Linked DNA regions of Lonchura striata. The protein of the gene in region 1 interacts with the protein of each later gene in a biochemical or structural test. Links are inferred from orthologs where the notes say so. Each region holds a gene or a part of one and is shown in the gene's direction. Other genes may lie near its edges.

Region 1 (10,589 bases):
TGTTTACCTGAGAGCAGCATTGTAAAAGGAATAGTCGGAGTGTAGAAGAAAATTGCAGGGAAGAGCAGACAAGGAGATTGCAAGGGACATGGGAAGAAAAGTAATATAATAAAATGAAAACAGACAGATGGGGAGAAAGAAAATGAATGTAGCATCCATCCAGATTTTTTTTAATTTCTTCACCAGGGAACATTTAAAACCAAATTATTTTTTATTAAAATAACATAAACAAGAAGATGGTAAAACTGTCCTTGATTCTGACTGGATTGTAGCTAATAATCAAAGTAGCTAGAGCTGGAGTCAAAAGGAACATTATTTGCATGGCAAAAAGAATCCCCCAAATTCTGTTTAATTTTTGTGTTTGTTTTGACAGGAAGTTGTTTGCAGGCTTCTTGAAGATTTGGAACAAAAATCATTATAGCAGAGGTGGATCACTGGATCTGACTAATGGTGATGATATTAAAGGTATAATAAATGCAGTTTATGACAATTACATAAATGATAAAAATAGGTCTGTGTTTACACAGTGTTTGTGTCTAGTTCTTAAATGTAGACCTAATGTGATAATATTGTTTTCCTTCTAGCTTCTCTGCATTTTGATAAGCTGGTAGAGGAGATATATTTTCTAGTATATTATTTATGCATGTTTTTGTTACCTTGCAACTCAGAGTTGCCAGCAAGTGCCATATTAAAAAAATTGTAAAGCATGTAGTGCACTATATGGCTTAAGAATACAGCTCTAAGTCAGTGAGCCTCAGAACTGATTTGAATTCTAAATAACCTTTTCCTATAAAAGTGTTATTGCACTAAACCAGTTTTAGAAAACTTTAACTAAACTTTAAAATAAATGTTAGTACAATTGCAACATTCCTATTTGCTTATAAATAGAAATGCTTTGTGAGAAACAGGTGCAGAAGCTGTTCCAATCTGAGATGGTATTCTGAATGTGTCAAAACTGCATTCTGAATCTTCTGACCTACAGAACACAGACTGGAAGATTCTAGTCATTATCCCAACCCAGACTGGCCAGGAGCATGTTGGTCTGATCCAGGGAGGGTCCATACATGTGCTCAGCTGTGTTAGGAGAAGGAAGGACAAACTTCTAGCACTCACCAAGACAGAAGACATTTTTTTCTGTTATGTTTTTGCAGCATATTGTATTACATCTAACCTAGAAATGTCAGAAATACATAATTTTGATGGTGAAATGATTTCAGCATTTTATACACAAGGTACTATACCAGTATGTCCATGTAGTTCAAGAATATTTTTCTACTATGCTAGTTAAATGAGATTGGCTGCTGGTGTTGGCATAGCTATAGGATGTGTGTAGGTCTTTCTATATATAGGGTAGGTGAGTGCATGTGTGTACATATTTTTATGTATAAAATTCATAAATACTGGCAAATACACAGTGAGGCATACTGTAAAAGCTTATGCTTTAAGAAAATACTACTATGGGTCTATTATCTAGTGTTAGGCTGAAAAGGAACTAACAAAGAATTTGAAACCTCCATTTCACTGGCCTTACAAATAATTGAGGAGATAAATCAAAGGATTCTAAGTCTTGGTTGTTCTACAGTCTTGCGCCAAATCCAAGGAGATGGAAGAAGCTACATGTAAAATAGATGCCAAAAGCATCAGAGGTAAAGACCCTAATGAATTCTGACTCCTGCCATTTCCCTGATTTGTAGCTGACAGAGGCTGATTTAAGTTTGGAAGCCTATGGTTCAGCATATAGTTTACTACTTTTCAGGGATATTGTCATTTCTTGTAACACTTCACTTTCTTTCCTAAAAGAACCAGCCTGCTTAATCAATTTCCTCTTCTACCTCTACTTCTTCCAATCATCTCTTGAATTGGAGGCCTTCCTTCTAATTACTGACATAATTTAAAAATGGTCTTATTTGGAACCTCTGTGTAAACATCCACTATTTATATAATCAGTTACCTGGCGTGGTCAGTCACTACGCCTCGGTGTTGCAGTATCTGCTGTTTGCATGAAACCTAAGCCAGCTAATAGCAAACTGACTTTAGTGGGAAAAACAGAAGTAAATATATGCAGTTATTAACAATATGCAATATTTGATGTTATTAGATACAAATCTTTCATGAGGACACCATAATGTATTTGGTGCCTATGAACAATGAAGGTGAAGATCTCAGAACGGGGAAGGAACTGCCATATCTCTGTAACTTGTCCCACAGTCATAGCATAGACTTCCTTAAGAACATGTGGGATAAACTCTGCATTTTGTGTAATGTTTGAAATGATGTCTCTTTGTTCTCTAAAGGATGTATGTGGAAATTTTGTAATTGACATTTGACCTGAGCACACAGTAATCTTTATAGATGCAAGGTAGATGTCTCCAAAAATTGTCACTATTCAGACCATTAATTTTTTTTCTTTAAGCATCTTCCTTTGCTATTTGCCAGTTAACTTCTCTTACTTCCTAGAGATTGTGAAATTACTGTGATTAAAGTTTCTTGCATTGATAATTCCAGTGACAAATTTGAAAGCTCTTACAATTTTAATGCTTTTCAGGATTTTGGAATAAGAAAAATTCCTTATGCTTTTCTGTTTTTCAACTATCCTCAATTAAACACTTACTACTGCCATAAACATTGCTAACTTTCATTTGACACATTCTTATGAGAAAAACAGCACACACACTTTTCACTCCTTTCTGTTCTGAGTTTTGAGGTCTTCTTCCTTAGGAATTAGCAAAACTAAATGAGTTTCCTGGGACTTCACCTGGAGTCAAGTTTTCCCTTATAGGTAGGTGTGTGGCACCTTATTCATTGTTATCCAGAGCAATCCCACTGAAAGTTGATTCCCTCTATCTACTACCTCAAGTTATGCCTGATGTTAATGGTATGCAGTGGTCACATAAACCTTGATAGCAGACTATTCTGTTCCTAAAAACTAGAAGGCAAAGAGAAAGATTTAATACTTATTGTATTTTAAAAAAATAATTAGTAATACTTAGTACTATTTGAGTTGGATTTAGTATTTAATATTTTGGGCAGGTGATGCTGACTGACTGTTCACCACTGTGAGAAAAAGGCCATTTCTCTGGCCACTGGATCATAAAGTTTTACTGCAGAAGAAACACAGGGCATTCAAGGAAAAGCATTATGTACATTTACGATGCTATTTGATAAGGGAAGTCTTTTGAAATTTGAAATTTCTGAAAGGTACTGAGGAAGGTTTCTCTCCTGCCATGATAGTATTAAATTCATAACACTGAAGCAATGGGGCTTTACAAATAAAAGGGTATTTTAAAAAAAGTGTCAGCTCTAACTCAGTAGGAAAGTAGGTTTTCTGTAAACTAAAGAGAGGAATATACCCAGCTCCATGTATTCTTGAAGTTATGTATGTTGTTTCATCTGGAGATGATCTATATAATTTACACTCTGCTTTCAATCTCTACATCAACAATTCATGAAACCAAGAGATACAGCTCTACTATGTTACAAAATGCAGACTCAACCCATACTTTGCAGCAGGTACTGTGCTCTGCTGGGAAGTCCTGTAGTGCATGCCCACTTACTCCTGGTCTCTCGATGAGGTGTTGTCTAACACATTATGAGATGGCAAAGGTCTGATTATATTTCATAGCATCAATATTTGAAAATATAAAAGACACTTCAGCATTTTTATAATATTTAATCTGCATGTCTGATAGAGGAAATAAAGAACGGGATCTTCTGCATGATGTCCTGTTACCTTAATCAAGGCAAATAATGCTTTATTTAAACAAGAAGTCTTAACTGTGTCAGTAGAATGATTTGTAGGCAACAGTTAGTAAGCAAAACTGGAAGAAAGAATGCTTGCTTATGCATGGTTTTGTAAGGATAGCAAGGGTTTGTATGAAGTGGATGCAAAGAGCTATAAACAAAGAGACAATTTCTTAATTTCTTTCACTTACTGCTTTTTACTTAGCAGATTTTGAAAGAAGCATGCTGCAGCAGGATATATTAATCAGGAAACAAGGTGCATGTTCACTTATGCTATCATGGATTGTGGGATTATGTACCTAGCAAGAATATTCTATACCAGCTGCTAAGTATTAATACTGCAGTCAGAGTGAACTAGCACTGTTCTACTTCATTCCCAAGTATTGGAAATTTCCTGATGTAATTTGCTTATGTAAAGTCTGAGAAGTCTTTAGGATCAAGTCCTTATTAAAAGCAAGTCCTTGCTGAAATACCATATCACCTCTCTTAAATATATATATATATATATATAACTAGATATATGCCCTGGAACAGACTTGTTTAGCAAGCAAACATACTAATTTTTACTTTTAGTTAATACCAAACTGTAAAGAAACTTCCAGCTATGCTGTATACTTGTGGGAGGTGAAGATCTTAGATAATTTCACAGATGTCACTTTAAAAGGAAGAGACAGAATTAGTAATATGTGTGTTGTGCAGAGAACTGCAATCCAACATTAGTAATCTATTCCTGTCATTCTCAAATAGAAGGGAAAGTAGGTTAGTAGATGGACAGGATGTCTCCACACAGCAACCACAAAATAAGTGCCATGCCTGAATGATGGATATATTCTTCATATGCATAAAATGCAATATATCCACAACCCGTTGATTTTTTGTAAGTAATCAAACTCATTGTTATCCCTGTTATATATATAAATATAAAAAAATATATTTACCAGTTGCACTGGCAAATTAAAAGGCTTTGTTTCAGAAGTGATTTTCCATATATCTCACATTCTCGGTCACTATTATGTTAATTTCAAGGAAGAAGAAACGGAAAAATTCGGCGAAGTTTGCACTTTAGTCTCTAAACTCAAGGCAAAGAGAGACGTTTTGAAATTTGCCAGGTCGCTGTTGGTGCCCACCTGGGAGCCCCAGCCTGGCGGTTGAAGCGGGTGAGGTGGTGGGCCTGGTAAATGGCTCCTGCCCGACTTCCAGTTCATCCGATGGGAGCTCCCGCTCCTCAGCGAAGCAGCTAAAGCCTTCTCCCTCGGGACATCAGCTTCTCCCGAGTGCCGCCGAGTCTCTGCTGGCACACCATCCTGTCCGGAAAAAGGAACGCCGAGAAGCGGCAGGCGCCCGAGAGCTCCCGGCGATGCTGCCTGAACAACATTCACCTGGATCGCGCTGGGAAGCGCCGGCTCAGCGCCGCCGCTGCCGCCCGCACTCCGGCAGCGGGCTGGGCTGGCCCCGCGCGGCCGCACGCCGGGGAGGTGTCGGGGCGGCGCGGCCCCGGCCCCGGCCCCGGCACCGCGCGTACCGTCTCCGTCTCCGCCGCCGCTCCCGCCCCCGCCGCCCCGCCCCGACACAACCATGGCCGTGGCGGCGGGGCGCGGGGGAAGGCGCGGCGGCACGGGCGGACCGTGCCGCCGGGGAAACCGAGACGGAGGGGAGCGCCGCGGCCTCAGGGGAGCTAGCTCCGGCCGGGCCGCGGCGGCCAGAAGGCCGCCTGCGGCGCGGAAGGTGCGCGCTTGAGCAAGGCAGGGAGGTATCGCCGCGGGACGGGCGTGCACGGGGAGAAGGGTCAGCCGGCGGGCGGCTGCGAACCGGCCCGGGTCGGAGCCCGGAGGCGGGAGCAGCCGGCGAGCTCGGGCCGCGCGGCGCGGTGAGGCTGGGGGCAGGTGCGTGCGCGGCCGACGCCGCTCCCGCCGGCCGCCCCTGGGCGGCTCCGGCTCGGCGGGGCTCGGCTGGGCGCCGGCGGAGCGCGGCGCTCGCTCGGCTCGCGATCGTGTTTGCGCATGACCCCTCCCCGCCTGCGCCCTCCCCTCCCCTCCCCGGCGGCAGCGGCGGCGGCGGCGGGGAAGGTTGGCCTCAGACACAGGCGGCTGCTCGGCGGCGGCGACGCAGTGCAGAGGTGCGGGCAGGTTGCGCTGGCCCCGCGCCCCGTCTCTCTCGCGCCCCGCCTGCCTCCGGAGCTCGCTCCCAGCCGGCGGCCTCCCCGCGCCGGTGTCGGGCCGGCCCCCCGGCCATGAGCGCGGCGCTGGGTGTCCCCCCGCCGCGCCGCCTTCCCCGCCGCCCCCGGCGGCTGCCGGGCTCCAGGAAAGTAGCTTGATGAGTGTCCAAAGTAGCAGTGGAAGTTTGGAGGGGCCGCCATCTTGGTCCCGGCTCTCCACGTCCCCACCGAGCCTGCAGGGCTGCTCCGCGGCGGCGACGGCCTCCCAGCTGCACGGCGCGCCGCCCGGCAAGCCGCCCAAGGAAGGTAACCAGCGCGCCGCGGGGCTGCGCGGGGGGCCCGGCCCTTGGGGAGGGGCCCGGCCGCCGCCGCCGGAGGCCGGTCCCGGGCCGCTGGGAAGCGGCGGCGGGAGAGGCCGGTGCCCCCGGCGGCGGCGCGGGGTCAGCGCCGGGCCCGGTGGTGGCGAGCGGAACCTCGGTCGCTGGGCGAGCGGGGCCCCGCCGCCCCCGCCCGCTCGTCGGCGCGGCGGCGCCTCGTTGTTACCCCCCGCGCCGGGCCGCGCAGGGGAACCCGCCGTGCTCCCTCCGGCCCCGGGCCGTCCGCCTGCCGCAGCCGCTCGCGTCTCCTCGGGCGGCCGCTCGCCGCGTCCTCCCCGAAATAGGCTCCCCTCCGCCAGCGGCTGAGTAGAAGTGCTGCGCCGGAGGATGCAGCCGCTGTTGCTGGAGGGAGTTGGGCACTTTTGGCATCATGGAGGTGGGAAGAGAGGGGCCGACACCGGAGGTTCGTCCCCGTGGGGAAAGCGCCCTCAGGGGCGGCCGGTTTTGCGGCCAGAAGTGACAGGGCGCCTTGCGGCCGCCACGGAATGACTGCAACTTTCTCCTGTCCTCCATCACGCCTTCGATGATAATATTTTTCTCCTCCCTCCCCTGCTCCTCCCCTCTTGTGTTACACCGACAGCGACAGCAGGGTGTTGTGGGTGTTTGCAGGGAATATCTGTATGAAGGTTATGAGCAAACAAGTCCCTTCGCTGTTCCCTTTCGGGTATTGTCTGCTTTTCCTCCTTGTGTTGTGTTGCCACAAGATGTAGCAGTTTTACAGCTAGTGAGTTGTTCGGCGCTTTTAGCTAAAATAACTACTTGCCGAACGCCGGTTAGTGGCGGAGGAGAACTTTTATGCACAAATGCTTGCATATTGAGCAGTTGTATAATTTTAATTGATTTGCCCCAGATTAATGAATACCATGTAGCTTCTGCAGAACGTCATCGCCCAAGCAGGAAACTTGCTAACTTAAAATAGAAATAGTTGCGAAGATGGAGAGTCTTTGTTTTTTAGGTCTTCCTGTGGTTGCTTGCTTGCTTGCTTTTTGGGTTTTCTTGGGTTTTTTATTTGGTTGATAAGCAATATAGGGACTTAGTAACAGGGATTCGACGTCCTTAAAATGTATAATGCAGTCTGGTTTCTCCATTTTCCACACCAGTAGTTGTCAGACTTGTATCACTCTGTGTCACTTTTGCACACGCTCCTGCAGGTAGATTGACATGAAATGCTCTAGAAAATACCTGGGAAGGAATTATGGTATATGTTAAAGATGCTGAGTAAAGTGGCAGGCATTTTGTGCTCGTCTTCTCTGGGAAACCAAAGCTGTTAGAAAAACCATCAGCAGCCAAATTCATAGTTTTAAGTTTATTGAGAGCAGGTATTTTCACTGTTGCAGCTCTTGTTAGGAATATGCATACAGATAATATGTATATGTAGGATATTTTTGGATGTATTTCAAATACCTGCCATTTAAATTTGAAATTATTATTGCAATATAAATTATCTATCTATTTATTTTAACAAAAAATGGTGGTCCATGAGTAGCTCTGTTGAGACAAGAAAAATATTTTTTGTGAAGCTCATTTTTATATGCTCTTTACATTTTTCTTTCTTACAACTCAGGCTGTTGGATTTTTCCAGGTACTGTAATTTGCATCCTCTAATACAGATTATGGGTTAAAAGTAATCAATACCTTGGTGTTTGTTTGGTACTATAATGTGTTGTATTTTTATAGTGTTCCTTGGTTGTGTTTAAATTGTGTGTCCTCACTAGGTAGCTCTCTTTGAAAATAAGCATAAGCTGCCGTGCTTGGGTTCATGTTTTGCATTCATGTTTGTGAGATGTTATCAAGGCATCTTACTTTATATATGGTTTACAAAGAAGTAGCTTGCCAGAAATCAGTAGGCCCTGAAATATAAATATATTAGTATGTTCATAGGCATTGGCTTATATATGTGAAAGACTGATGCCAGATCAAACTAATAAGCAAGGAGTATTTGCAGTACAGTGTGTTTATGGGAGCCTGGGCTGTCATCAATTCTAAACTTGTGATACCTGGGGCTTGTGAGTTTTGGAGCAGTGCACAAGGCTGCCAGCCTGCACTGGATCCCAGCTGCATTGCTGCTGGTGCCAGTTTTGAGTGGGTAATATTTACCATACAGCGCATTTGGCACTTGTGCAGAGCTTCTTTCCCAGCTTGGCCTTCTTGTTTTGGGTTAAATCCCTTTGGTTGTCTCCTGTGAGAGTTATGTCCCTGTTGCCTTTGGAAGTGCAGACCTTCATGGAGTGTACCAAGTGTGCTGTGGTTGATCTGACCTCAACTATGAAGGTCTGGTATCAGCTCACATGTCTCACATGGGCATTTGAAGATTCTGGTTTATTAAGAGCAGAAACCATCTGCACGTTGATTTAGGAAGTTCTAAAAGTATTTTCGGAATCTCTTAATAGGAAAAAAGCAAAAAATAAAAGCTCTAGCATATATGACAATTGCACAAACACATTTTAAAAAACTGGCAATATCTTGTCAATATCAAGAGACTACTTGGGAAGTATGGGTGAAATTAGAGGAAATAATAATTTAAAAATATTTTAATCTTTTAAAATGTGCTGCAACGTTGCAGCAACATTTTCCATTGGATGCTATCTTCTATATCTTGATCTAGAGTGGCCTCATGGCTTTGCTGTATTGATTTGATTTTTTGTTTTGAGGTTTTGAAATGAAAAGACTGGGATGGACTTGAATACAGTTGCAGCTGTACACTTTTACTGTATAAGAACTATCTCTTGTTTGCATTTTAGTGTAGCTTGTAAATGTCTGTCGTTCTGTCAGTTGTTTTATATTCCCATAACTTACGTGTGGTATATGTGGTCACTTAAGAGCCCTGCAGTAGATGTTATCAGGAATTTAGGAGGACTGTTATGCAGTATTATTTTGCATACTGTATGTGTGGTTGTGTGACTGAATCTTCTGCCATCGCTCACATAATTGCAGTCAAGCCATTTCCTGTTTGAAGTTTCTTTACTTTTGTCTGCTTTGTGTCTGTAACTAAAAATATTAAAGCACATACCTGCAGAGTGCTGTTTTGTAAATGGAGAATGTTCAGGCCAATGCTGACAAGGCAGAGTCAGAAGAGATTCCATAGGTTGTCTTGCATTGGAAGGGACTGTAAAGATCATCTAGTTCCAGCTCCCTGCTATGGGCAAGGACACCTCCTTCTAGACCAGGTAGCTCAAAGCCCCATTCAGCTTGGCCTCGAACACTTCCAGGCATGTGGCACACTCATCTCCACAGCTACTGGAGGGTCAGCCTGTTCCAGAGCCTCACCACCCCCAAAGTAAATAATTTATTTCTAATAACTAATCTAAATCTACTCTGTATCTATTTAAAGTTGTTGTCCCTTATCCTGTCCCTTCATGCTCTTGTAAAAAGTCTCTGTCCAACTTTCTTATAGGCCCCTTTTAGGTACTGGAAGGTCCTGTATGGTCTTCCTGGAGCCTTCTCCAGGCTGAGCACCACCGACTCTCTTAGCCTGTCTCCATAGCAGAGATGCTCCAGCCCTCTGATCATCTTTGTGGCCTTTGTCTGGGTTCTTCCAGCAGGTCTGTGTCCTTCATTGCTCTCCAGGTGGGGTCTCAGTAGAGTGGAGTAGAGGGGCAGAATCCCTTCCCTTCACATTATAGACATGCTGCTTTAGGACATGGTTGGCTCACTGGGTGGGTGGTGCTGCAGTGTCTGGTAGTTAAGCATAATGCTTTGTAAGTTATTTTTTATGTGTGCTGTTGGCTAAAAGCAAAATGGAATGCCAAATAGAACTTCGAATTAACACAACAGGAATACAAATTTCAGTTTTCAAATTTCATCCCGAATTTGTATATGATGGCAAAATGGTAAATAAACTTATGCCATGTATTGACAGTCTTTGAAGAGCTTATATTGTATGAGTAGCACATTTTGTTGGTGATTTTTTTCCTAAAATTTGATAAATGTGTATTGTTTGTATTTATTGTTACCTAAAATGTGATGGTAGTTATGTGTCTGAGCACAAAGGTACAGTTTATTTCCTCCTTAAGTTTCCAGTCTAGAAAATGCTTCTAGATGCCAGGTTGCATCTGTATGCTGCGTACAATATATTAGTCCATGAACATGAAAGCAACCTGAATCTTATTAAACTTCCAGGGTTGTTGTTTTCTGTTGTTTGCACATAGTGCAAAAGCTCAGCTACTTTGCTTTAACAGGAAGTTCTCAGTAAGTTTGTTGGCTTTTATCATTCAACTGTAGATTAAAAATTTTATGGATTTGGCTAGTTTATATGGGGCCAGAGAAGAACAGGAACACTTTTTGTATTTAAAAATGATGGCATATTTTTACTCAGA
Region 2 (10,541 bases), on another chromosome or scaffold:
TTGCAACCTAAGCCCATATGAAAAAGAAACTAACAGCACCCAGCCTATTTTGCTGTGGTGCTGTGCATAAAAGACAGCATGTAGCAAGTGAACTTGTTCATATTAGTGGCCGAGATAAAAACCAGACAAACCAGTCTTGCTTTTGTAGGAGGGCACCATTTTCCTTTTGATACATACATTCAAGGGAGATGTATGTGTGGCCCTTTCTGTTCCCTAGACTGGGAATAGCTGAGAGGCACAAGTATCTCAGCAAAGTCACAAAGTACTTACAAGGAAATCCATGTTTAGTCAAGGCCTAGCTGTAGGTACAGTGGTAGAAGTGCAGCAGGCAGAAGGGACGGAGCTCAAAGGTGCTGGGAGCATCTCCACCTTGCCCCAGGCCTTTGGGGTCCTATCTGGCTCCCTCCTCAGGTGCACTGGAGGTGATTAAGGAAATTTCCTTATGACCCTGCAGGTGGATTGGCACAGAGTTCACAGGGCTTTGCTAATCTTAGTGTTTTAAAGACAAACAGTAAACATGTGGCTGATGCCAAATGATTGTGGTCATCGATGATTTCTGTTTGCGTAAAGGAATGTAGGCACCAGTGTGTGCTACATGACCTTAGGGGAGCATTTTTCCATTTGGGAAGTAGAAAAACCCTGCTGAGAAATTTTGTTTTTCTTAATGAACAGGGTGGGTGGTACTCTAGCAAGGCAAGTGGAGTGGGTTGAAGGAAGAAAGGAAAGAAAAGCAAGAAAAACTTGTGTTAGAGAAAATAAAGGTGACTTAGCAATTTCATTGTTATCGCACTGTTGTCTAGAATCAAATTTGGACTATGCTTGGTGTACTGAGGTGAGATTCCTGGAAATCTCATGCTTTTGGCAAAAAATAATGTGGAATATCCTTCTTGTTGGCAATAGAAGAAAATGATAATCAAAACAGTCAGGAAACATCTTAAACCTTGGGTCCTGCTTACCCTATGGCAATTTTAGGAAATAGTTTGCAACAACATTTTTTCAAAGAATATGTTCTCTCTTGCTGTTGTAGCCTTTCTTATGTGCCACAGCACCGCAGAAAATTCGAGAGAAAATCAAATAATTTTGGTGTCCTTTGCAATGAAACATGAAGTTTGTATAAATTACTGAGCAAGTGTGCTAGCACTGGGGAGTACTTTTTCAGGTAAAAGCATTTCAGAGCTTGGCTAGTCTCTCAGAGGAGTGGTTTTCTAGGCCCAGTGTCCTTGCTAAGGTACATGCAGTTATCTGTAAACACCGAAATTCCTGTAATATCTAGATAGGTCAGGACTGTGATATGCAAGACACTGTACAAGCATGATTAAATACATCTGTATGTACTCCTGTTGACTTCTCTGATTTATAGGCTATGGTCACCACTGAGATCTTGGTTTTGATAATTCATTATGGAAATGTCTGGAATAATTTTTTTTCTTTCAGAAAAATATAACTTAGAAGTCAAAGGTGAAATGAAGTTTAATTTAGGAAGTATTGTGCTCTTTCACAATAATGAAAAATTATATCTGCGTTAAATAACAATGAAACTTGTAAGGGATTTAAAACACTATAGTTTAAGAAATGATTTAACAGTTGAATTGAGAGGGTGGGATTCCTGTGGAGCAGTTTGTCCATGAGGCAGGTTACTTTAGTTACATGGTTCCTCACATCTGTCTATGCAGCATCTGACTGTGGCTGCTGATGGATTTAGCTGCAGGTCATTCATTTCTGCCTGCTGGAGGTTTTCTTTCTTGGTGAGCTGGTATATTAGGTTACCACGATGAGGGAATTCTGAAGAAACAGATGAGGCATGCCCAGTGCCTCAGTCTTGTTTTGAAAGATGATGAAGTGAAAGGCTTCCTTGCAAAGATGTGTATCACACTGAGAGCCTAAACAAACCACTCAAAGATTTCCATCTAGCTGGCAGCCACTGCTCTGCAATGTGTCAGCTTGCTTCCCAGGAAGCTATGTAGCCACGACCCAGCACTACCACAAACAAACACAAAACCAAACAGACACAAAAAAAATCCCACAAAAAACAAAACAAACCCCAACAACTAAAAAATACCACAAAACCTTGGGTAAGTTTGTAATTAAGAGTTTACATTAGGAGTCTACCAGAATGAGAGAGAACTTGCACACTTTTTAAAAGAAATTGCCCTTTTTTTGTTTTTCTGATAAGATCTGTATATAGTACTAAAGTGTCATATATACTTGTGTAAGAATAGTTATGAATTTAGCAGGAAGTTTTAAGTAAATTCCTCAAATATTTTTATATTCTTTGTCTACCCTTCCCATGTGTGAGTAAGGCTAGGAGCACTTGTAGCTCTGCACTATTACCCAACATCAGTGTATGATGAATACATATTCCTAGACAAGGTAGTAATTATGTTCTGATACCTGTAAATATGTAAGTCCTTGCATACCTTTATTATTACATGTAGTTCTGTTGAGTCATAATTAATGTGTGGGAAGAGGTAAGATCATATTTAAAAATCCATTTTCAGCATCAGGTGGTACACTTTCAGTAGTTTATGCTTTTTAATTTGAAGTAACCATTAATGTTCAATAGAAGTGCTCCATGTGGATTGGCTTACAGACTGTTTTGACTCCTCAATTACAAAATCACTTATTTAAAGTCTGATGACTACATGGGTGAACATTTTTCAGGCTCCTGTGAGTAAGAAAATGCTATTTTGCAGTTAAATCTGCATAACCTGCAGAAAGGACTGCCATTGCATTTATTTTGTATTCAGAAAGTTTGAAGGAGTGTTTTTCTGCCTTTTAGTGAAAATTCTAAATCATAAACTTCTTTATAGGACATATTGTGTATGGGAAGACTCCTATGGCTGAAAAGTAGTTTTATTGCTATGTGAAGAATTAATAGCAGTTACCTGTAACTAACTTCTGCTCAGTTCAAGCATGTGTATTCATTCATGCATGAAAAAGATAAAGTAAAATCTGGTTGTGAGTGTTTTATGGATACAGGGTGGTTGTTCCTGGAGCATTACTTGTTTAGCTGCAAATAGCCACAGGCAGACTAGAATGGACTAAAAGAACACTACAATGATATATGTTTTTAAACCCCTATCTTTAATCAACTGCTCAGTTGAAGATAAATTATGTGATGCCAACATAAGTGTATTTTTATAGATATGTGTTGTGTAGAACAGAGTTTTTTCATTTCTTTTTTTGAGTTTTGGAAATACAGGTTTTTCTCCTTGGGTAAGACACTGGCATTTCTGTAGTAGTTCCTAGTTGGAATATGGGTTCCTGCTGTGAAGAAAGTGGAAAAGCTGCTTGGTCTAGGTTTCCATTGGGTTATCTGTTAGACTAACTTTGTAAGAAGGTGAATTAATGGGAGGAGACACTTAATTTCATTTCCCCAGGCAAAATCCCTCTGCTGTTTTTGGAATTACTCAAAGCAGCTGGCATAGGTGGAGTTACTGCTGTACCAGCCATGGATTGAGAAGTGCCAGGTCATGACAGCAGAGCTGATTCAGCTCAGTACGTGGTTGTGCCATAGTGCTGAGGCAGCCGGATGGCTCTGCTGGTGGCACCCGCAGTGGTGGTTCACAACTTCCTCCCCCAGTTCACTCACTTCATCCTAAAGAGTTTTTAGGTAGCTGAAGTGTTTTCAAGCTTTTAGTCCTGCTAAATCAGTTTATTCATGTGGCCTTTAATTTTCTGAGCCGCTCAGATGGTTTTAATGTGGAACAAGTAATTCCTGATGCGGAGTTCTATAGGGGAGCTGGCAATGTAAATCTGTCCACTGCAGGCATGCAGTGTCCCCTCTCATTTGTGACTCAAGCTCATGTGCAAAATTTGTCATCTCATAGGATTTACAAAACTTGCAGGGTTTCACTAGGAAGGGTTTTGGCAAATGTTGTTGTGGTCATAGGCTTGATCTCATGTGCGGGCCTGTTTTGGCATCTTATTGTTAGTTGTGATTCATGTGAGATTCAAAGAAGGTATTTCATTTCCTCAGTACTTCTGTTTCTTCATTGCTTGGAGCACCGTGACTGTTCTTGTGGCTGTTCGTCAGTGCTGAATCATTCATAGATTCTGTGCAAAGAGTGTTGTTCAGTTGATGGACATTGTTAGGAAGTGTAAAAAGCTGTTTCTTCACTTCATACAGAGCTGCTCAGTCTGGCAACTTGTACATTATGAAGGTGACTAAAAAGAAAGTATTCATCTTTTTCCAGCTGAGATGTTTGGAATAGTTGGCTGCAAGTTCCTACAGAGATTGTAAAAGTGAGTAATCCCACTGAAGTCAGCGACTCAACTCGTTGCATAAAGATTGGCGCAGGTAGAAACTGTGCAGTGTGGTCTCCCTCCCGACAGTAAGAACTAAAGTCAGTGTTTAAGTCTTAGTGTTTCATCCTAAACTGAAATCTGTGTGCTCAGTTTTCAGTCAAGTAAGGTGGATTTCTGCTTGAGGCTGAAGTGAAAAATTAAGTCTTTGTTGGTATAAATGCTTGCAAGTATATGTATAGTTTTGCTTCCTAATCAGATAGCTACAGGGCAGTTTGCACTATACAATTTCTTTCACAGTTCATGTCAGATTCTTGGAATCCTTTCTTTGCCAAAGGATTATTTAGATTTCACTGTTTAATAGGTAGCATGAAGAAATCTGTAACACTTATGATATCCTTGCTAGTGGCTGGTTGCTTTTGTCCCTTTGGCTGAAAAGTAGTTTTATTGCTAATAAATTGAGGAATTAATAGCAGTTACCTGTAGCTAACTTCTCTTCAGTTCAAGCACCTGCATTCATTTATGCATGAAATTAAAAAATAAAGTAAAATCTGTCTGTGACTGTTTTATGGGTACAGGGTGGTTGTTTCTGGAGCATTACTCCAAAGACATGAGGGAAGCTAAGGGGAGGCAGGAGGACAGGATCACAGATCTGATCTGCAAGTGTTATGTTGGCTTCACCATCTTTGTTCTTAGACATATATGTGTTATCAACCAAATTTTATAGTAATTTTTTTTATAAATGATTGGAAGAATAACACTTAGAATATTTGCCTTTATATTGTGCTGTAGACATGTCTTACAATTTTGTATTCCACTCTGCTTTCCTTATGTTGGGAGGTAGATGATGAGGAATGAGCTGTTGCTCATAATTTGTAGAGCAAAGGACAGTTTGAGGAAGTTTAGGTCCAAAACCCAGTGTATAAGAATTTATTTTTATTTTTACTTTATTTTTACTTGATAAATTTTAGAATATCAAAAATGGGTGAATTGATTGTATTGATGTCACAGTTGGAATGTACAGGGTTTTTTTATTTTTTTTTTTAATCTTGTATGCAATAGTTAGTGCTGGTTTAAAAAAATCTATTTCCAGTTTAGCAATAAATTTTATTATGAGCGCATTTACTGAGTTTGGATGGTTTTTAATTTTGATTTTGTGAGACTTTGGAAGCGGGTTTTTGTGACAACTTATTTAATTTGATACAGTGATAACATGGAACTTAGAGAAAACTGATTTCAGTGAATTGCCAAATGAGCACTGTAGACTCTCAAAATGTGAAATTTCTCACTGGGGTTTGGGTGGGGTGGTAAAGTGTGTGCGTAAATAAATTTACCAGTCTCTCCAAAAGCTGAAGTAGAAATACAAGACTAGATTACTTATGATGGTCCATCACAGATGTGTGCTTTGTCAAAAGCAAAGTTTCTGTCTTTAGAACCCTTTTGTACACAAAGCAGTGCGTGGAGCTGGGGTTATAACAATAGATGAGTTTGTGTAGCTTATTGCTTTATTTCATGCATGTAATTTTAAGTTTCATTACTTCAAATGCTGTGATGCACTGCATTCAAATCATCTCTAGGCAGCAGCTGCAAAATCCTATACAGACATCTGCTTCTATGACAAGAAATATGTGGCGCAACCACAAGCGTGCTCTAAAAGCTGAAATTTGAGTGTTGTGGTTTAACCTACATAAGCTCTGTTATGTTGAGATAGAACAGGATGAGCCAGAAAATACGAAGAAAGAGTTGGCATTACTTTCTTATGTGTCCATCATGAAAGTGGGAGCTGTAAACAACTCACATGTTTACAGCAAATTACCTCCACAGCAAATTGTTAGCAGTTAGTGTGGTGCTTTTTTCACTAATTGCTGTTTATATAGTGGTAAATTTGAATTCAAAAGAACTTACTTGAACTTTTATGGAAGTTTATAGTTACAAATTCTTTAATATGTACTGCACTGTTTGTTATTAAAAACATAATATTGAAAGACAGGTCCTCTACCTAATTTCTAATCTAGTTTTCTTTATGTGCCCATTTCAAAAAGAATATTTTAATTTCTTCCTTCTCTTAAATGTCTTTTTTTTCTTTTTTAATATAACTAGGAAAGCTTTCTGATATTGCTTAAATGTGCAAAATAGACCAAATAAACACTTTTTTTTTTTCCATAGGACCTTTCACAGATCTTACCTTGGATTGTAAAAATTCTCATTGAATGTAAAAAATTTCTTTGTTATGTGTCAGGTTAAAAATTTATTTGTATTTCTTTACAAATGTATTGGTTTCAAAAATATTTTGTTTTTATCTTTTCAGAATTTAAAGTTTGGTGATCCATCATGGGGAACCATGTAGGAAAAAGAGATCATAGCACCGAGAAGTCAACCAAGGTGAGTGTGGAAAATGGAAAAGACAGAGCCATTTGGGAAATATGTATTCTGTGAACTACAGGGGATTTTTAGGACAGTAGCTGTTTGCCGGATAACTTACTGTTACTATTTTGTAGTTGACACTATAAAATGACCATGTTTTTGAAAGAATGTCAGGCCAAATGAAGATTTTGTTGTGCTGGATTTAGTGAGAGATGTGATGTTTGATCCGTAGCTGATAATAATCTTCTCAGTCATGGTGGAGACGAATTAAAGGGACTTGGAATCAAGATACTCTAGAGTTTTTTAAGAGTTGGTGAGCAGAGTTATGTTCTGTGTGTTTACAGTGTTTCATTTGAGCAATAAAATTGGCTTCGTCTGTAAGACACTATGAAGAAATAGGTAAAATAAGAGGATTTTAAAGGACAAGATTGTCAATCCAAATAGATACAGATTTAAAAATCTCCTTCCTAGGGAAAAAAAATACAAGATCTGTAAAAATGTTCATTAAAAATTAGTATTGGATTCCTAAGCACCTGCTGACACTGTTGTGTATTCTGCACATAATGTGGTTTTCTGTTTGCCTTGTGATAATATCTTGTTTATTTGTTTTTCTGTGTTGTACCGGAAGAGATTTCACACATCTTAAAACAGAACATCTTTCTACATATATTTAAAAGTAGAAAAAACAAAACCCACTGCTTGTTGCTAGCTATTGCTATCTTCCCTCCACACATCCTTATCCAAAAATAACAGTTTACAGTCTAAGCCCACACTCTATAAAGCTATTGCCCTTTGCATTGGACATAAAATGTAAACAGATAGTTCTGGGCTTTATCTGGAGCAGTGTGGGTATTTTGCTTTGCTGTGGCAGATTATCAGCTATCCCCAAAAGGAATACAAACCAGGACTCATACATTTATTAGTTCCTTGCCATCTCCTTTAGGAGAATGCATAGTCACACTGGAAGGGACAGGGACAAAGCATCAGGAACAATTTTGTTTTGTATTGGTGCAGTGTTTTGCAAAATGATTCTGTGGCCCAAGGTTTTGGTTTGAGTACAAACAATAGTATGAATCTCAAATTGCTGTCTTGTGGTGGCTGGTCTTGCAGACTTGCCCTTTAGAAAACTCAGTTGTGCAGAAAAGTGAAATGCACCAAACAGAAACATTTAGCCAGATATTTTGATCCTTTCTGAGTAAGCATGTGAGATCCTGCAGGTATGATACATTGAGTTTACAGAGCTTGATAGGCTGCAGTGCACCAAATACGCCTGCTTTGGTCTTTGAGGATAAAATTTGGTAAAAAAAAATTGTGTGTGTATATATATATACATATATATATATATATATACATATATATATATATATATGCATGAAAACCCACATTGTATCTTGTCTCCTGCTGTGGGATCACATGTGTTTGAGGCATCTGGATGGCAAGTGGCTGAGCTGTGCAGCACATCTGGCTTCAAAATCTAAAAATTCTTCAAATTGTAACAGCCTATGCAAGAAGTGCAAATTCTGTGGTGAGCGAGAGTCAGGTGACCATGAGTCTGCACTTGGGATGTAGGACAGAACTACAAGGAAATAGATTGTTGCAATTCTTTAAAATTCCTTCTTTCTCCCATCAGTTCATAGAGAATACTTGATTTTGCAATCAAAATAAAATTAATTTGCCAAAATTATTTTGCAAAGCAGGAACTTTCTACTGTGATAATATCTTCTGTCCTTCATTCAACCACCTAGAGGGTAAAAAACCAAAACACCAAACCCCTAAACTTTCAAGTTGTCAGTACTTGATCAAAATTTCCCTTTATGCACAGGGATGTGCATGATCTCCCTTTATCTAAAACAGTAATCTTGCCACAAGAAATTATAGGGTCATATATTTAAGGTCAGGAAATATATAGTTAAGGCACTACTATGGATTTAAATTTCATTACTTGGACTCTCCAGGCTATTTACTGTTTACCTCTCCCAAAACTGTAGGTCCAAAGGAAAAACATGATTTTAGGCAACTTCTTTGAACCTTTGAGGTCAGATTTACAGCCACTGTACTGCTCCTTGTCTGGTAGACCATTTCTCCACAGAGCTATTTTACATGAAGCGACATTAAAGAGACTGTTGCCAATTGCAGCAATCCCAGTGCTTGATTGTCCAGTAAATGTCCTTTAATCCAGCAATTACTATTAGATTGGTTTGGTGGTTTCTGGAGTTGACATCTAGCTTAACTTTACTTTTACTTAATTTGTGTATTTGTATTACAAAATTAGAAATGGACTTCTGGAAAGCAATTACTTAATGAAGTGTCTAAGCTGACACTAACATGCTTTCAAATTAGGAAATTTACAGCAGACATTAAGATGGCTTCCCATGCTCTGACACTTCCTTCAAAATATTGTTCGCCTCTTGAGATATCAATATGGCAAGCTACAGCGATTATTTAATAAATAATGAGATACTGTGAAATTAAGTGAATACTTTGAAAAATACTTGACCTAATGTGGAGGAGTATTTACAAAACCCTTTTCTTTTACTCACAGAAATAGCATACACCACCTCATTCCTTTGGAATTTCTTCCTCATATGTTTAATGGATATGCATTTTTTAGAGTTGAAATGCTGCAATGAACCCAGCATATTATCTTTTCTTTTTACTTTGAATGATACTAGACTTTGCATCTGCTTAATGTGTTAGTAAATGTTTAAGTATTTATTTTGTTTGCTTTCTTCTTAGTGTTAATATTTGAGTTTGAACTTAACATAAATATATCTAAGAACAACAATAACAAAAAGAATAGGCTGTCCTGATTTTCTTTAACTTCTCAAAGAGCTACATGTAGAAGAGTGAAAATAGACATTGGAATTTTACTGGTTCAGCGTTCTAGTTGGTGTGTGCTAATTTGTCATCATTATACTACAAAGTGGCACAATCTTTTTTTACAATGACTAAAGCTGCCTATGTTACAACAGCACAGTTCTCTGCTACTCCTCATTAAAGAATTCTGCATGGCACATTACTGCCATCCCAATATCTTTGAACTGTCTTGCTATCTGTCAAAACTGGCCCTTAATGTCATTAATTGTTCAGGAAGAGGGGTTTGGAAGGAAGGTTTCTGGCATTGTCCCACTTACTCCAGAGCAACTTCCAAATGCACTTGGTCCACATAGTCTGGTTTCCATGGTTACATAGTGCTGTGGGGAGCTGGAAATCAAGGTTGTGACCTATAGTGAAGGATCAAAACCCGCTGCCCTGCCGTGTCAAGGGATTGCTCAAGAAATTTATACAGGCCTGGGACATGTTAGATTATGGGAAATGCTGGATTATCTGCCTGGTTCATGTCCTTTATGTAGTTGGCGTGTGCTGTAAGAAAACAGCAAGGAACCAAACCAAATTGCCACTTCTGGTACCCAGCTCTGAAAAGCCGTGGAAATGTAATTGCAGGCCAAAACTGAAAACAGACATAATGATGAATAGGCATTCAGTCTGCAATTTAATGTTTTCTTTGAACTAAAAATAATCTGTTAATAATGATGAAGTCTTGCTGGGTAATCAACTTGTGAAAAATCTTGCCTTTAATTGCCCTGTGTTATGTACCTAGATTCTACAATGTGTTTTGCAGTGGTTGATTTGATGTAACTTTAATAAACTGACTGGTTCTCAGTGTTTAAGGAGAGTTCAGCATAGTTAGTTCAAGCTAAACTGCTTCAGTGAACATGTATCAGTAAATCAGATAGTTTCTATGCTGCTTTAGAGGAGATTCTATTTCCTCTCCTCTTTTTTTCCCCTGTTACCTTGTTAATGTTGTGAAATTAGGACCCTGTCTTAAGACTGTAGTGGGGTAACACTGATTGAAAATTTTCTGTCTATTCCTGGTGAAAGGGAGTTGAAATTCTTAAGATGACTGGAACACAGTGGTAGTTGAACTGTTC
Region 3 (10,811 bases), on another chromosome or scaffold:
AAACAATCCACTTACTGAGCAGCCTGGGCTGAAATCTCTTATAAATGATCCCAGAGTAAAAGTAGAGGGTTCTCAGCTCGCACCTTTTAATTAATTAGTAATCTGTGTTACTCTTACTTAAAGAGAAAACCACCAGGACAAAAATGTAGACACTGATTAATTCGAAAGATTCAAGAATAGCAAACTAAAAAATGGTGGAAAATAAAATAAAATAATTTTTAAAAACAGCAAAAAAACCCCAAACAAACAAGCAACAAAACTAGAAATGAACCAACAAAAAAAAGCCAAACCAAACCAAAAAGAAAAACAAAAAAACCACCAACCCAAAAAATCCCCAACCCAACAAAACACCTTATGATTTAAAAAGACTACTCTTACCTTTATTTTGCAAGATGAAGGATGAAATTATATGGTCCCATTCCTCATTCTTTGTATCTAACAATACTAAGACCAGGTCAAATCTGCTCAACAGGGGACTGCCAAGAGCTATGTTGACAGAGACAGATTCATTGGGATCATAATGGCCTTTAGGGTTTGTTGCTGCTAGGATGGTTGTCCTCGTGCTAAGCTTGCACACCAAGCTAGAGAAAGGTATGGTGAACATTGTGGTTGAATTAAATTAGATAGGGAAAAGGATTTCAAAGTGCTTAAAAACTTCTGTGGTTTTATCCTATAAAAACCACATCTTATCTTGAAAGATCATGAGAGCTAAATAACGTACACAATTATTGTATTAATATTTATTATATGTACATCATTTTCCAGTCAGAGAACAGCAACTAGACAGACACTGATCTGGATACCAAAAGGCACCAACCAACATCGCCACAAATAATCTCTGTACATAGCTAGATCCTTAAATAGTGAAAACCGACACTACTTTTCAGAAATAAATATTACATTGCAGGACTGTACAATATGCAAACACTTCTGAATGCTGGAAAGCAACACTTTAGCTTAACTCATCTTCTAAGAGAGGAAAATAAAATGTGACATGAATGTAAGTTTTATTCCTGTGTATAAAAAAGAATATGAACCCAAGTTAACAGTGATGGCAACCATACCAACTGAAACAGCCATTTTCCACTCTTCCTAGCATGTGCTTGTGGATATAAGGAGAGATTATTTTTACTCTAGGAGTCCAAATGTACTCCTTTTGGGTAAGGCAGCAGCAGAAGCATTCTAATTTTGGTTTGTCACTGAGCTATTTCTAGTCAGCTCCTGAGTAACTGCTGCCTCATGTCCAAAGTTCTCCTGTAACTGAGAGGAAGGACCACAGATCTTCCACTAGCCTAGGAAAAAAATTTATTCTCCCATGCACCAAAATAAGACCTAAATTAACAAGGTGCTTAACTTATGTGTGCTAAGTTGCTATTGAAAAAATCCTTATTATGTGTAGTCCTTAAACAACTGAGCATCTATGTGCAAGTTAGCAAACTGTTTGGGTCTATCAAATCCAATCAACTGCATCAAGGAACTAAGCTGAAATATGTCCCTGTCTTACTAAGGAGACGGGACCATATTGATCCACGTATTTGTGCCCAGTTGGCAAAGGCTGGTAATTACCCAGGTGAGAACAACATGACCCTGAGTTTAGCTCAGTTGGTAAGAGCATGATGCTAAAAACACCTAAGTCATCGGTTTAATCCCCACACAGGCCTTCACTTAAGAATTAGATTTGATGATCCTTGTGGGTTCCTTTCAACTCAGAATCTTCTGTGATTATTTGTCTGCTGTCTGATGAAGAGGATGGAGATGCTCAGAATAAGGGAAGGACATGGTCAGGTAGATAAGCCAAGATGCAACTAGAGCAAGAGCTGAGTGGAAGGTGGTAAGAAGGAATGTGGAAAGGGTGATGCCTTTTGAGTAGCAGAGATGTCAGAAATACCAGCCAGAAAATAATTTGGGCCTGAATAAGAACTGCATATAACTGATAAATTGAAATATGAGCTCAAAGATCTAAGTGGTGGGAAGGGGTAGTATGGGGAATAGCAGATTTGAACACACACTACTTTGAAAAAAGAAAGGGAAGGACTTAAAGTAAACAGAAGTTTATATTTATGCCACACCCAACATATAAAATTCAGCAGCCTGCAAATCTCTTGGAAAATACAGCAGCCTTGAAATCTCCTGATGTGCTTTGGTTACCAAGGTTACTGGATTTTACTGGACAAGAGGACATAGCCTCAAGCTGTGCCAGGAAAGGTTCAGGCTGAACATCAGGAAGAATTTATTCACTGAAAAAGTGGCTGCCCAGGGAGGTAGTGGAGTCACCATCCCTGAAGATGTTCAAGAATTGACTGGACATGGTACTTAGTGCCATGGTTCAGTTGATAAGGTGGTGATCAGGCATAGGCTGGACTTGATGATCTTTGAAATCTTTTCCAAACTTAATGACTCTGTGATTTTGTGGTTTTGGAAAAATGAAGCCCCACTTTCTGAGTTGCAACAAAAAAAGTCACAAAGCTTCTCATTTCACATAAGATTATTACAACCACTTGTAGCAAAAGGCAAGAAAAAGAATGCCAAGTCTTTGCAGAAAAGTGCCCCATCCTGTAGCAGTAGATTGAAAACCCAGCAGCGAAGAGGGTATGTATTTAGTCTGATTGCTTGTAGCCTCTGGTCTAGTGCACTGTCCTATGAAATGCTTACTTGTCTAGTTTAGGAATATTGTTGACAACAAAACTATTGCATACAATGAAGAAAACAAATATATTTAATCAGCATCCCTCCAACAAATAAGTACAAGAGAAAAAAATCTCGTGTTGGTTTCTTACATGTGCTAATATGCCACTTACCCTGCCTTTGCAACACTGATGGTTTGTTGCTCCATTGCCTCGTGGATACTGGTTCTGTCATGTTCTTTGATACTATTGAACTCGTCTATGCAACAGAGGCCTCCATCTGCAAGCACCAGTGCTCCAGCTTCCAAATTCCACTCCCCAAATTCCTTCACAGCAGTCACTGTCAAACCTGAAGAATCAAATACTTCAGTCAGTCTCTTCCTTAAAATGCAAGAGTAAACTTGAGTGAAAGAAAGGGACCCAGCACAGTGGCTTGAGCCATAGACAGAGGATAAACCAGCAGGAAAGGTCTATCATGTACTTCTACCACATAACTTAACTCACTTTACAGCTACCAGCTGTAAATCCCACTAGTGCTGAGGTAGGTTAGCTTGGAGCTGTGGAGCGGATTCTGTTACGCTTCCCATGTTTGGATTGTGACTTGTTTTAGAACTTTGTTAAATGAACAAAAAAGATTAGGGTATGAATACTAGATCTGGTAGATCATACTGAAATTTGAGGCAAAGGCAATAATTGTAAAATTATGGAATGCACCCATTCAGGTCTTCCTCCACATCAACTATTAAAATGGACAGAAATTTTGGAGCTTCAAATCAAAGCTTGGAAAAAAAAATAAACTAATAAAATTAAAATTTCTTTATGAGTTTTTGGTTTCCTCTAAGCATTAGGCAAAAATGAAAATCCAAAGATGGCCAAGAATGAAATGAGGGAAGAAATAAAAAGTTTTCCAGTAAATATACACATGATACAACACTTGGTGGATAGCCAGACAAAACCCCCACATTACTGTGGAAATGTCCACTCATTAGCTAGTATGTGCAGCTCCCTCCAATCTTTCTATTCCCTATTTCCCTGCTTCTTCTCTATCTTTAGCCCTTCTTTTCCATTCCAGTGCTCAGCTCAAAATATCCTAGTAGTTGACAAGCTGCAACCAGCCTAAAATCTCCTGCAATTCTACGGCAAAAACTGCACAAGAATCCCCCCTGCCTCACCATTTGGCTCATCATCAAGACCTTCTCATCACTGTGCAGCCCACCATAGTACTTATTTGTTTGCAAATGACCAGCAAAAAGTTACTGGAATTAAATGCTTCCTGATAAAATAATATGTACTTCAACTTGTAGTAAGAATTCTGCTCCACCATGTCCAATCTTTCTTGGTTTTCCTGGACTGTGTGCCGAACAACGTGGGCAATCAATCACACGGCAGAATACAGAAACACAGAGTACTAGGCAGTACTAGAGCCTGGCTGCTCTATTTATTTCTGAATATTCTGCTGCTCTATTTATTTCTGAATATTCTGTGCTGGGGGTACACACCTTGCACCCCTGGAGCCACGGGCACTTTCTGCTCTCCCCGGGGCCGTGAGGGACGTCACTGGCACTGCAGTGCTGCATCACTCTGCTCGGCGCTGTGCCCTGTGCATGGCAGCCATGGGATGGCCTCTGCTGCAGGCTCCTGCCACCACACAAGATGTCTTCTCCAGCTGCACACAGGGCCTCTCGCTGGCAGTGCTGCTGCCCGGGCAAAATGTCCTGTCTCGTAGTGCTTCAGGGTACCCCAGCCTTCTGCCAGCAGAGGAAGGGGATGGCTTCCTGACAGCACGGCCGTGTGACAGGCACGCTTGGTTCAGCAGCAGCACTCGGGGCCGTGCAGACAGCCCATCCTGCCCGGGGCACCCAGCACCCCGCCAGCAAAGCCCACTGTGCCCAGGGCTCCCCAGCCAGCAAGGAGCTGTATCCCGGTACGGACATCCCGGGCCATTGGCCAAAGGCCACTGCCGTGGGCTGCAGGCTCACGAGCCTGGCACCACTGCCCGGCCCCACTGCCCTGAGCTGGGGGTGCTCCTGGCACCCGAGAGCCCACCAGCACCCAGCACAACCAGCACAGAAGCAGGAAGATAAAAACCCACCAAACAAAGCACAACAAAAACCCAAAGTGCTGAAATGATCCCAAACTGAGAGCGTCCCTCCACACACGGTGGAGCACCACAGGCAAGATGGTTTAGGCTGTAAGTGAATCACTGCTTTCATTCTTCTTAGGGGATGGTGAAAGCTTAATGCACGTTCCTACTTGATTAGACTCATTTTGTGCATTCTGACAGGAAAAGTGCTTGTTCTGGGAGGTGTTGGGAACAATTTCATCATGAATGCTGGACTGAGAGTAGTTTTTCCCTCTTCCCAAGCAGCCAGTGTTGCAGTTGCTGTTTATACAATACTGCACAATCTTAGCATATAAAAAAAAAATTAGGATTATTTAAAAAACTTCTGAATCTTCCCTTTTATAAATAAGGTTAAATAAAACTTTAAAATGAGCTGTAGTTGCAAGCAGTTTTTTGTCTTACTGAGATATAGTGATTCTTCAACTTTTTGCCTAAAGTGAATGGACAAAAGGTTATATTTTTGTCACTGTTCTACCCATGGTTCTAATTTAGTATGCTATTTTGCCCTACTATTCTTCCAGCCTCAATTTCCAGCTTAGGGCACTTTCCAAGCTGGATGTGGTCTTACATTGTTTACAACTTGCAGAAGATGGAACATTCTGAAATGAAATTAATTTCTTCTTCAGCTCATATGGTTCACAACTTTAAATATAATACACTTACACAAGATGCATTTTCTATAGATGAATCTAAACCTTATCAATTTTAATAAAAGTCATTGTGGTAGGCAGGGTAAACACAGTCCCTTGAGCTATATGCCAGCAATTGAAATGAAGTCGCATCTTAGGACTTAATTTTCTCTTTTAAATAAAATCATTACAAGGCAACAGCTTTTGAAATAAGGTAGAGTCCCTTTTGGTCGTGAGTGGAGATCTGACAAGTTGTGTGGTAAGATCGTTCCTCCTGATTTTCCCCTTGCCTGGATTTTAAAGCACACAGAAGAAAAGAGAAAAAAAAAAAAACAGAAAAAAAAAAAAAAAAAAGCAGAAGTAGAAGAAGAAAAGAGATAAGCTCAGTCCTTTTCCGGGAAACAGAGCAGCAGACGTTCCGCGCCTCCCTCAGCCGCACCCGGCTCATCTCCCGCCCCGCCCCGCCCCGCCCCGGCCCGTTGGCGGTTGCCGGCGGCCGTTGCCGGCGCGCGCCGGGCGGGGGCGCTGCGGCGGGGGCGGCGCGGGGCGGGCGCGCGCGGAGGCCGCTCTGGCCGGCGCTCGGTGCCCGCCGTGCCCGCGGAGGGAGGGCCCTCGCCCGGCGAGCGGCCAATCCGGGCGGGCGCTGGCGGCGAGCAGGAGCAGAATGGGCTGTAGTTGAGCGAAATAGGGAAAGCGGCGAACAGTGTGGAGCGTTCCCGGTGTAAATAAAAGGGGGAGGCGAAAAAAAAAAAAAAGTTTGTGGAAGTCGCCGCCCTGCAGCCTCGCTCGGGCAGCGGCGCGGGGGCTTGTGCGGTGCGGGAGCCCGGCACGGAGGACTTTAGTGCGCGGCGTTAAGACGCTCTGCCTATTGTTTGTGTTTTTTTCCAAAATATGGCAAAGGTTCAGGTGAACAATGTAGTGGTGTTGGATAATCCTTCTCCTTTCTACAATCCTTTCCAGTTCGAAATCACATTCGAGTGCATAGAGGACCTGTCTGAAGGTGAGTAGAATTTTTCTCCCCGATACGGATTTTGCAACCCCGGGCTCTGAGCTCGGGGCATTTAAGGCTTAAACTTTGCACAGGCCTGCGCCTACAATTTATCAGTCTCTCCAGCTCCGCCGCATCGCCGTGCCGAACCGGGGGGACGTGCCGGCCGGGCGAGGGGATGTGCCGCTCCCGCCGAGCCCGGCGCCGGGGAAAGTTGGCGGTGTCCGCCCGCCCTGGGCGCCGAGCCGGGCCCGCCGCCTCTCCCCGCCATCGGCGAGGCGGCGAGCTGCCTCAAGTTGCGAGGAACTTGTTAGAGTGGAGGTAGCCATGTTGCCAGCTTTGTGTGTGCGTGGGGGGAGCGAGCGGGAGACAGGAGGGTTGAACCGGGCTCGGCGGCCGCGCATCCCCGCGGGCACACGGGATGCTGCCTGTTTAGCCCCGGCGGTACTCGAAACGCGGAAAACGCTCCGGGGGATGCGTTTCGATGGCCTCGTGCTCCATTTTAATACCAAAAAAAAAAAAAAAAAAAAAAAAAAAAAAAAAAAAAAATTAAATCACGGTGGAAGGTAGGGGCGGGCTGACTGGCTGGCCCCGCATGCCAGCAGCAGGCAGCCGCGGACCGCGTAGGTGCGCGGGGTCGGGGGTACGGCTCGGAGGGGAGCGCTGGCTGCGGGAGCCCCCGCCGGGGAGGAGGGGGCCGCCCGCCTGCCACTATTTTTGGAAGTCACTCGAAAGTTGCCGGCAGCCGCCAGCGGGTGGGGGCCGGCCCCGACCTTGCAGCCTCACGGGGACCCCCGTCCGGAGCCGCGGCCGCCGTCGCGCTCCCGCCTTCCCCCGAGCCGGGCGGGCCGCGAGCCGCCCTCGCCCCGGCCGCGCTCCGCAGCGCCGCCCCCCGGGCGGCCGCGGGACGCGCCCGAGAGGCCGCGCGTCGCCCCGCGGGCGGGAGTTTCGAACGGCTCGGGGCGAGGGAGGCAATGCGGGGCGCCGCCGCCCCAGAGCAGGAGGAGGCCGCCCGGCCGGGCTGCCTGCGAGCCGGAGAGGACGCTGCCCGGCCGGCGCTCGGCGGAGCCCGGCGCCGCCTGCTCGCCGGAGAGCCCCGCGGGCGGAGGGGCGAGGGCACGGCTGAGGAGAGGGGAGTTGCTGTCCTGGCTAAGGTGCCCTGGCAGGCTCGCTGTCGCTGCGGTTTAACTCGCCTCTCCCCGCCTGCCTCTGCAGCAGCGCGTACTCGCGCGTGCCGGCGGGACGGTGACAGCGCGGGAAAGGAGGGACGCCGCCGTGGCGGGAACTTCGGAGGAAGTCTCGCCTGAGCCAGGGTTTCCTCCGGGCCTCCGCAGCCTGTCTCCTGCCTTCGTGCAACTCAGCTGTGCTCCGTGCCCCGCCACGTTGCTGCCTGGCTATCTCCGATCGGCCTGCCCCATCAGAGGTGCAGCATCGGAGCCCCTCCGTGGCAGCCGCAGTGGCAGTGCCCGTCACAGGGGCTCTGCAATATGTTAGGCTTTTCCTGTATGTGATGTGCTCCTCACACTCAGGATTAAGTTAATTTGGACAGTTGTGATAAGAAGAATTATAGGTGGTCCAATGCGAAATTCTCAGTTCTTTTCCCCCACCAACATGGAAGTTAGACACTAGGATAAATTAGGGATGAGCGCTGCTATCTTCCACATTTAAAAATAAGATTAAACACAGACATTGTTTACTTGCTGAAAAGTCATTGCCTTAACTTTCCTATGCTAATACGTCTGTTTACTCTGCTGTTTTCCTCTGCAACACTGATCCTAAAATTAAATCCATTAACTCCAGCCCTCTCTTTCTCAAAGTTGTTGTTCTGTGTCAACATACTTAAATAACATTTAAACTTTATTTTAAAAGGTCTAGTTTTAGTACTAAATACTATGAGTTGTTTAGAGGAAGTTTCACACTGTTCGAGAATAATGGCACAGGATTGTGGGCTAGTCTTAAGCAGTTTAGCCTAGAAGTCCTCACTTCTTCTAAGTAGTAATTTGTTGTCAGATGCAGAAAAGAAAGTTCCTTAATTATATTGGATGAGTACCCTGCAATACTAGCAACAGCTTCATGCTTAAAAGGTATATAAAACTGATAAAGTACCTGGGAAAATATGTTGTACAGAGGAGTAAAATCCCTTCCCAAGCTGCTCTGTTTATTATGATAGTTAAACCTGCACTAATAGTAAATAAGATAAGCAAGAAGAATTCACTAATGAGAAAAGAGAGTTGCGAACTTAAAGCAGGCAAATTCTGTTCCAAGTGCTAATTTTTTTTTTCTATGCTTAAATTCCATTCCTGCATCCAGAAACCATGAGGCAGACCTTTGGATTTTGCCGAGTGTGCTAATCGAATTAATGTAATAGCTCACAGGTTTGTGCTTTTGCAAAGGCAATCAAGGCATTGTTCACAAGGGGGAAAAAAAGAAAAACACCGTGTAAGTTTTTAAGATACAGTAATTAAGAAGTGTTACAGTTTTTTGTCATGGTGGTCATTTTTTTCCTCTTGTTTTAATAACCCCAAAATCTGTCTTCCAAGATTAGTTTTGTATGTGTGAAATAATAACTGGTTTTTGAATCAAAAAGGGAAGGTGAAAAGCTGACCCAGGAAGAGCCAATTTGGGCTAATTTGCAGTTTCAACTTTAAAACATCTGTGGGGAAGAGGCCGAGTTAGAAAAAATTAATGTCATGCTATCAAATTTTATGTAGTTCCCACGTAACACAAGTGACATATGAAGGATTGGGAGCATAGAGTTAGTGTGTCTGGAGCTTACCCAGTGGGTTTCTTACTCAATTAACTACTTTCCATTATCTATGTAATTTATTTAAGCTGTGAGGTGTGTGTGTGGAGGGTGGGAATTTTGGTTTTGGGAGTCAGTATTCAAGGATGTGATGATTTATAGGCATTATCCCTCTGCTGCTGCCATTCTGACAGACTTTGAGAAGATGCTCAACACAGCACCCAATCAGTAAAAAGGCCCTGTTCTCTGTATAAATTAGGAAAATTAACCTTAGTGTTAGAATAAAGGGATTCCTGTGATACAACTGACTAGAAAAAGTGGGATGATCTGGTTCATGAGGACAGGGTCATGCATCACTAAATTTTTCTGATGAAGACAGGTCCTTGTTATTTTAGGCTTGTTGCCAAAGAAGTAGTTCTAGCTATGCAAAGCTGTAGATGGGTGAGAGTGGAAGGCCCCCTAACTGTAATGATAAATAATGTTTGGTTTTTTTTCTTTTTTATGTAGATTTGGAATGGAAAATAATTTATGTGGGTTCAGCTGAAAGTGAAGAGTATGATCAGGTGTTAGACTCTGTTTTAGTTGGACCTGTTCCTGCAGGAAGACACATGTTTGTATTTCAGGTAAGTTTGATTTAGCTCTTTCTAAAAGTTGTGCTAATTTATTTAGGGATAACTGTATCAAACTAAGAGGCACTTGAAAAATATTGGTAAAAAAAATTGCAGTGAGCTCCTCAGTTGTGATATGCCTTCCTTTAAACTCTGTTCTTGAGCTTGTACTTCTTGCCCCTTATACTTCTTGGTTATATTTTTTATTTGTGGTATCAATAATAGCTGATAAAAGCACAGTTCCCATAGCTACTGATAATTTTAACCAGTCTGGTTCATAATCAGCAGTGCCAGTTGCCTGGTTTACACCAGCACTATAAGGCTCACCTCTTCTGCTGGAGGTGGCAGTTTCAGACAATCAGGAGCACTAGGTTAATGTAGACAATGCCTTCAGAGGATCAGAGCAACAAACTAATTGTAAAATTAGTTTGTCTCAGACAGAATAATCAAGAAGCTTGTTTCTGTTTGGCAGAACCATGGTCAACTGTGATGTTTGGCTAAGCATGCTAAATCATAACAAAGTACAGTGATTTCTAAAATAAAATAAAATAAAGATAGAAATTTGGTGGTAAATGGGAGGTATTTAGGACACTAGTGTGTAGATTAAGACTGTGCAAAAAAGTCTGGAACATGTGACAGTCCTGTAAAATACTGCTGTTAAAGCCAAAAGTTAATAAGGAATAACAAAGGAAAAGAAAATGGGGAAAGAGCAACACTAAGATGACTTACTGGCCTAGACTAGTTTCTGTTTAACTCAGTAAGAAGCAGGGGGGAAACCTGAAGTGGACTTGCCCGAATTCTAACAGAAGCTTTCTTGTTTGGGATAACTTCTTTTGTGGTGGTGGGGTGTTTTTGTTTGTTTGTTTGTTTTTTATTCAAAACTATAATTTTTATTTAAAACATTTTCTAGCATTTATTTTTGTAAACGGGCAGCAAAATCCATTGGATAAAAAAAATCAGATAGAAACTGAGTATGTTTTATTATATAAGAATTCTGCTATTTTCCCAAATGCTATAAATTCACTTAACTAATGACAAAGGCATGCTGAAGTAAGAGCATTAAAGAACCCCAAAGTTCTGATGAAGCTGATTCCCTT

The links.
Region 2: the proteins of TLK1 (region 1) and MBP form a complex in vitro, tested with the Homo sapiens proteins (2 studies listed by BioGRID, with this or other methods). The link is inferred for Lonchura striata from reciprocal best matches to the Homo sapiens genes TLK1 and MBP.
Region 3: of the proteins of TLK1 (region 1) and ASF1A, one has a biochemical effect on the other in vitro, tested with the Homo sapiens proteins (3 studies listed by BioGRID). The link is inferred for Lonchura striata from reciprocal best matches to the Homo sapiens genes TLK1 and ASF1A.

Annotation. Positions count from the first base shown.
Region 1 is NC_134610.1:20,254,395-20,264,983, reverse strand, and holds the start of TLK1 (serine/threonine-protein kinase tousled-like 1), read left to right. Parts: upstream 1-5,973; 5' UTR 5,974-6,054; coding exon 6,055-6,202; intron 6,203-6,634; exon of another isoform or gene 6,635-6,676; intron 6,677-10,589. UniProt on the Homo sapiens protein: Rapidly and transiently inhibited by phosphorylation following the generation of DNA double-stranded breaks during S-phase. This is cell cycle checkpoint and ATM-pathway dependent and appears to regulate processes involved in chromatin assembly.
Region 2 is NC_134603.1:59,596,471-59,607,011, reverse strand, and holds the start of MBP (myelin basic protein), read left to right. Parts: upstream 1-6,553; 5' UTR 6,554-6,576; coding exon 6,577-6,627; intron 6,628-10,541. UniProt on the Homo sapiens protein: The classic group of MBP isoforms (isoform 4-isoform 14) are with PLP the most abundant protein components of the myelin membrane in the CNS. They have a role in both its formation and stabilization.
Region 3 is NC_134605.1:65,190,919-65,201,729, reverse strand, and holds the start of ASF1A (histone chaperone ASF1A), read left to right. Parts: upstream 1-5,948; 5' UTR 5,949-6,266; coding exon 6,267-6,375; intron 6,376-9,613; coding exon 9,614-9,729; intron 9,730-10,811. Other genes in the region: DNA helicase MCM9, read right to left, coding at 379-581, 2,799-2,973. UniProt on the Homo sapiens protein: Histone chaperone that facilitates histone deposition and histone exchange and removal during nucleosome assembly and disassembly.